Drosophila melanogaster: one gene and its partner. The protein of the gene in region 2 interacts with the protein of the main gene of each other region in a pairwise test. Each region holds a gene or a part of one and is shown on either strand. Other genes may lie near its edges.

Region 1 (3,755 bases), 1.1 Mb from region 2:
TGTAAGCCTTCTCGGCACTCCGATGTCAAGGACATTGTAGCAACGAAATCAAATAAACAAATCAAATATTAAATGTGCCATTTCAGGCAGTTATTTGTTATTTGTGTCGAATGTCGTGCGAAATATGAAATAATTTTCGTTCTGCTATTTCCCTGCCACAATGCTGATTGGATGTCAGCTCAAGGGGGTAACTAAAATACGGCCGGTGGATAAGGAGAAAGCCTTTCTCTAACTCTCTCTAACTTGCCGCCACATGTGCAAAAGATAAAACACCCGATATTCGGGCGGCACTGCAACATTTTTCTTATTTACGAGCCACGTAGCCATAAAAGGCGACATAAATTTCCTAGAAACGCTCCTTCTGCCGACCAAAAAAAAAATGTTTGAGGATTTTTCGTTTGCCGAAATGCAGGCGGCAGTCGAAAGCCGTGAGGAATAAAGAAATTGATATAAATGCCAGGAAAAACTCGCACATCCCAGCGGAATAGGAGGAGATGGGGGGTCCTCGAATAAGGATGGATCGCACACATTGCGTTGAAATTGCGCGAAATGTCGTCAAAGTTTATCAAAATATTTAAATGAATGTCGCTTTGAAGCGCCGGGCGTCACGATGATTCAATCTCTGCAAGAGCCACTGGCGGGAATCACATTTTTCGAGAAGTCTTTAAGTTTTCCAAGACGCTTTTCCTAATGGCAAAACAATCTTCGATTATAACACCAAGCGGAGCACACTCTTGCCACTCACGGCAATAACCATTAATAAAAATGTTTGGCTTTTAAAATTAAACGACTCCGGCTGCACGTGCCGCCTGTATTTTCGGTGAAGACAGAAACTTTGAGGCAATTTCATTTCAATTGTGAGTGTGGAATTTAAGGCCATTTGCATATCAAAACCGAGGGGGAAAAACTCTGCCGAGCGAGAGTCCTTTTTGCCGCGCAGCTGGCGACGATTGCGAATCGCCTTCTCGACGGAAAACAATTAGCGGAAAATTCTCACAACTTTGGCAGGCGGAATTCGCGCCCAACGATTCGACGTAATTGCAGATACTTTTCGGCATCCGAAAAAGGGGGGCTGTCCAAATATCATTAACATGAATTTATAAACAATCGCGAAGAGGCTTAATTAAATTTTCCCCCCTCATTCCCTGCCGATGAAGTAGAACTTCTTTGTGGGATTCGATCACCATGGCGATTATATAAAGCATTCACAGACCATAAATGTGTGCAAACTTTCGGCGAATGGCAATTTTTTTTTCTTTTAAATAATTGTCCATAAATATAAGCGGACATAAAAAGGGCAACCGAGCGTTTAATCCGTTGTCGTATTTAATATATTGGCCATCCCGGCGAATGGCTGAATGGCGAATGGAGTAAGTAAAGTGAGCTCAGAATCCTTTGGCTCATAAAATGTCAAGGAAATTTTTATTGATGAGCCAAAGGCGAACGACGACGACAATGAAAACACAGCGCTTTCGCCTCGCCGAGATTTTCTCGTCCTTGCTGGTCCTTTTTCACGTTTACTGCTAGTTGTAACTTTTTTCCCCGTTTTCGAGGACACGCCATAACCGATGGCCGGGAGTTGGGCACGATGCGAAAGTGTGTCAAAGTATATCCCGGCACCTCCACACACAAACACACACACGCACACTCATACATACGTATGCATTTAGCACACGGTGGGTACACTTGCTAAAAGCAAAACCAACAAAACAATCTAGATACAAATTCCACTGTCACGTGTATCTAAAAAACAACGCACGCGTTTTTTTTTTTTTTTTGTTTACCATACATCCTTTGGCTATACCTTTTTCAATATCCATGCGATTTCTCGTAAATGCAACAATTTTCGGGCTGTTACTCGTTCACTGTCTCATTCACTAGTCACTATTCACATTCACCGATCACTGTTTACTGGTCACTGGTAACTGATTCCTTGCAGCGTACGAGTCGCGTGAACGCAGCGCCAGACGTTCGATCCGCACGATGTCCCGAAATCTACTGAAACTTGGAACTGAAACTGGTGACTTCGATGATATGCATTTCAAAGACACGAAATGTTACGCCTCGACGTTCGCTAACAGAGCTGAGCACTGTTAAGCGGCGCTTCGTGACTGTGAGCCGAACGCATACGAACGACCTACGCCAGCGCGCTCAAACCTGTTGGCCAACTGAGTGTGCAACAAACATGTTGTGTTTACGTTTTTTCCTTGGCCTAAGCGGTTTGAGCGTGTTGCTGTCCTCCATCAACATGTTGCACTTTTCGGGCTTGGCAACAAGTGCTTTTTGTTTCCAACTACCAGATACTCTTTCTATTTAACTGTATTTATGGTTGTAGTTATATTATGCCGTTAATTGTGAAATGTTACCAATGAGTATTGCATATAAAAATCATTTAAAATTTACATATTACAAACTCAAGCTGATTTTATTAAAATTAAATGTATATATCTAAGTCCTATTCAAAAAAAAAACGTATCAACAGAAGCTGCGTAATATATTGCTTAATTCAAATTGGACATTCAGCCGAAATAAAAATATTTTTGACAGATACACTAGGAAGCTCTGACACGGCAAAAAGTAGGACAAAATCGGTTCAGGGGAGATGGTCATTGTGGGTGGACGCGTTCAGCGGGGAGCTGTAACTTTTCTAATTGGCATTTTTCCGCAATGATTGCAGTTGAACACGCTGCGATAAAAGCTAATCGAATTATGCTTTTGGCAAATGCCACAACAGCTGCACGAAACCAGCAAAAACTAACAAACAATTATGGGTCTCTCAACTGGGGCGGGGAATGGGAAAATCGAATAGGGGGAGAATGGGCAAGGGTGGCTTATAACTCTGCTATGTGCGGCGTCATGTCAACGCCCAGCCAAGCAAAGCGAGGACCAAAAGGAGACGCAGCGGTTTGGAGTTTCCGGCAAAAAGTTAGTGGGCAAAGGAAAGAGCCAAAAAGGGATTTGTGTATGCGAAAAAATTTTACAAGCCATTAACAAAAATGTTGCGCCTCGGCATATGCCACATAAAATTCACTCAGCAGCAGCAGCAGCAGCAGTGGTAACAATGGAGGAGTCAGGCGCCTAACTCAGGCACACACAGATGGAAAGCGAGTGGAACGGTCGGAAAATAAGCGGCATAACCGCATTCCCAATACGCTATCCAAAATATTATAGCCCTAGAAAAGGGTAGCATTTGCTCTTTCATCAGTAGAGAATTATGATTATTTAAGAACAGATAAATAATTAAACTTTTTATAATAAATGTTCAACTATCAATCGCTGCAGCTTAATATATCTTCTGCATATATTCTTTCCTCATGGGCAGGTATGTACATATATGAATGGAGAAAACTCAATTATCCTTTGTGAGGGTACTGAAAAGAGCGAAACAAAGAGAGAGACTGATGCAAAAAGGAAGGAGGGGCGAAAAGCGAGTCGAATGCCAAAATGTGCAATGGAAGCGATCTTGGCGCCGCTGCGTCCAATGTGGGTGAAAGTCCGAGCGATGGGATGTGGCTGGTGGGTGGATTTGGGCGGTCCATATGGGGCAGGGAGCAGCGCACGCCTGCCGGAAACAGGAAAAACAAACAAGAGAATGTTGTGGAAGGAAGAAAACAATAACAACAACAGCAACAACAGAAAAACACATAAAAATAAAGCTGCGATACGAAAAGGCATGTAGGAAACAACAGAAGCGGGCAAAAAACAAAAAAAAAAACAACAGCAGCACGCCAACAAAAATGGCTGGATAACTCGCG
Region 2 (3,755 bases):
TTGATGGCCGGGAAGAGGGGATCCAGCTCGCGGCCCTTAAACACGTCCTCCAAAGTTTCCTTCAGGAGAGGAGTGTGCTGTGTGAAGACATTTTCCACACCCTTAAGGCCCTTAATCAAATTCCGTGTCAGCTTTACGGCGTCCGTTATCCGCACCATATTGAAGAGATCTCCTTGTCGTACATGGGTTCCAGCATACTCAATCAACGATGGCACTATAGCCGCTCGTCCACCGCGCGTTTTGATTATTTGCAGCAGTCCAGATGTGTCGCAGTTGGCGTGTCGCTCGTATCGCAATGCATAAAGTGCCACCAACTTAAGAGCATCATCGATGGAAACCCGTTCGTCGGCAATTAGTTTTTTGATTCTCTGCAGCTGGGCCGAGTGCTCCGCCTTGCAAGCGATCTCCTGTTCAAGTTCGGAAACCTCGAAGAGATTCCTCTTGTTGCTCAGCGCCGACAGTTCTCCAATCACACACAAATGCTTTTGCACAGTGCCAGACATTTTTTTAAACTGCGGATATGACTCAATAAAGTTCTTCATGTCTGCTATGCTCTCCACTTTCTTGTGGTCGTTCGCCTTGCGCTGGAACTCCTCCATCAGTTGTTTGATGGTAGATCCGATTTCGCCGTAGTTGGCGTACATGTTGTTGCCATAGAAGTCATCCTGATCACCGGATAAGACCAGCTCCTTGAAGTCTTTCGGCACATTGGGGCAATTGGACAGGTCCAATCGATTGTTTTTTATGTGCAGCAACTCATGCACCATGGCCTGGTATGTCCACTGATGCAAAAGCGGCGTCACAGGATCGTCCCTGCGGTCCAGCACAAGCAGCAGCGGTGGCGCAGCGCCATCCATGTTGGAGCGAAAGTCGAATAGCGAGGACTCTTTTGTGATTTGCTCGTATATGAGCTTGGCCAGAAGCTGCGCTGCCTGAGAACCGGCTCGGTACCGGATCACTGGGTTCAGCTTAAGGGACAACAGCACGGCTGTGATGCCCTGCATGCTGCGGTTGAGAGCGTCCGGCAGCCAATTAAGATTCGCCATGCAATTGGGAATGCCTAATGAGAACAGATTGGGGTTGACGCACAGGTAGTCTGCATACAGTTCCTTCACTTCTCGCACCGATTCGGATTCGTCGCACTCTGCCAAGTATTTAATGTCCGTCCGGGGAATGATGTTGCTGAAATCTATTTATGAGTTTAGTACTATTCCGAAGGTGCTTCTACTGACCCACTTACAAATGTAGTAGGCGCTGTATTTGGGGTTCCGCAACTCGTTGGCCAGTAGCTGGATGTTCTGCTTGGTGGGGCGTATAAAGACGATGCATTTTAGATACTTTAACCGCTCGTTGGATCTTCCCGAGTCCAGGCGCTCAAATAGGTACACCTCCCGTTGCAGCATGTCCGATTGGCTAAAGGCCATCGAAATTATACTGGTCTGCGAATGATGTGAATTTTTGATCATATGGCAGGGGATTTGATTGTCAGTCCTTGCACTTACCGTCTCCTTGTCCAGCAGAATGATTTTCATGCCCGGTCCCGACTCGGAGCACATTTTCTCGATGTACAACTTAATGCCGCTTATCAGATTCATGACTGCTAACTAATTTACTGCGAAAATCAGAAATTAATGTTTTTTTTCGCAAACAGATGGGTTGGAGATGCCCCAATTGCGATAGCTCCGTGATAACAGCGGTGACCAAACATTTGGGTAACATTCGCTAGATCTAGCTAATGTAAAATAATGTGAATATGTAAAAATGCATATAGATAAAAACTTACAATTTTTTGGTAGTATAATAAAAATAGCAATAAAGATAAACATAAATAGCAATTAAGCTCAAACATAATTCCGTATCTTTTCATTAGCCAAAATAAACTTCGAGTAGCAACATCCCTGGCCGGCAATCGATAAAGCGCCGATATGCTCGAGCGATATATCGAGTGCCCAGTAGTTATCAGTCTGAAGCACTCGCAGCAGTCGGCCAGAAATTCTGGCATATATTTTTGGATTCAAATTCGGATGGCTGATATGCAGGTGGACTGTTGAAAACCGGCTAAATACAAGAGTACGAGCAAAGCATAGACTAGGACACAATGGAGATGCAACTGGGAGCCATGCTGTATGTGTACAAGGGGGAGTACGGACTGCCGTCCATAGATTTTGAATGTTTACGTGCTCTGGTAAGTTCCGTTGCATCACACGGCGGCCAGCACGCCTGTTTTGCCCATTATCGCAGATGATGAAAGAAACTGATGAAAGCGCCTCTTTGCCGGAAACAGTGCCTCCTGCGATTCACCCGCTGCCCCATGGACGTGCAGACCAGCTCCAATCCGCTGCGTTCGGGAGCCGGGAAGCTGCCGTATCTGCAGATCGGCAACCAGAAGTTCGCGGGCTATAGGCAAATTAAGCGCGTGCTGGATCTCGAGGTGAGTGAGCAAAACAATGCCGGGGTGAACAAACTGCAGGCTCTATTTATAGATATGTGTTTTTTTATGGGCTTAATTCGACGTATTCTTTCAGGGTTACCCGATAGATGCGCATTTAAGCACTAAACAAAAGCATTTGTCCACCGCCTACGCCAACTGGGTGTTCACCAATCTGCATGCCTACTACCACTACTTCCTGTTTGGAGAGCCTCACAATTTTGACACAACCACGCGGGGCCTCTACGCCAAGCGCACGCCATTCCCCTTCAACTTCTACTACCCGTCGTCCTACCAAAGGGAAGCCTGCGACGTGGTTCAGGTGATGGCCGGTTTCGATGTGAACGACAAGTTGGACAAGCACGAAGGCGACTACGTGAGTGCTTTCAATTTCATATTGTCTCATATTACATTATTGTATCTTTAAATCCGAGGATTTTTTAATTTGTTTATCTAACCTATGTTTTACACCCAAGCTGCATTTCGATTGGAAACGTTTCATCAGTTTATATTAATAAGAAACAGTTTCTCATGTATTGGTCTTTTGTTATCAATATATCTTATCAATGTTGTGAAAAGCAAGACGTTTCTTTAACTATCAATTAATCATTTTACTTTACAGCTCGTTGTCAATGCCAAAAAAGTGGTGAACCTGCTCTCCCGGAAATTGGGTCGCAAGGTGTGGTTCTTTGGCGACACCTACAGCGAGTTTGATGCCATTGTCTACAGCTATCTTGCCATCATCTTTAAGATCGCACTGCCTAACAATCCACTGCAGAATCACATTAAGGGCTGCCAAAACCTAGTGAACTTTATCAACCGCATCACGAAGGACATATTCCGCATCGAGGGATACAGTTCCGTCAAGCTCACAAAGACACCCAGTGGCACGGAGGCCAGTCTGACGGCCTCGGAGCGCAAGTTCCTAGACTCCGAGCTGAACACCAAAATAGTAGCCGGCGTGGGAGCCGTCTTGGCCATGGGAGCGTTTGCGGCATGGCGTGGGATTTACAACCAGGTGGGTATTTTTGGCTGAAATTTGTAGTTCTTTACTCTTGACTTGATGGAGCTTATTCGATAGTTCTGGTTCAATGTCTTCTGTTGGCTCCAGACACTCTTGTAGACAGCCTCAGCTTGAGCACGTGCAAAATTCTCAGTTAATTGCAAATTCCGATTGATTCATCCTTGCAGCTAACGACACGCTCTTCGACGGACTACGATGGCATAGATTACGAGGATGACGAGATGGAGGAGGGCCTAGACTAATCGCATCTCTGCAACGATATCTATGTGTATAGTATATATATTTTAAAATACAATGTGGGGA

Evidence for each region.
Region 1: the proteins of Vps45 (region 2) and CG45263 interact in a two-hybrid assay, tested with the Drosophila melanogaster proteins (2 studies listed by BioGRID).

The regions. Positions count from the first base shown.
Region 1 is NT_033777.3:8,475,615-8,479,369, forward strand, and holds the start of CG45263 (uncharacterized protein), read right to left. Parts: upstream 2,004-3,755; 5' UTR 1,805-2,003; intron 1-1,804.
Region 2 is NT_033777.3:9,561,866-9,565,620, reverse strand, and holds the start of Vps45 (vacuolar protein sorting 45), read right to left. Parts: upstream 1,698-3,755; 5' UTR 1,596-1,697; coding exon 1,503-1,595; intron 1,440-1,502; coding exon 1,241-1,439; intron 1,190-1,240; coding exon 1-1,189. Other genes in the region: CG9393 (uncharacterized protein), read left to right, coding at 2,099-2,185, 2,285-2,431, 2,526-2,804, 3,051-3,446, 3,620-3,694.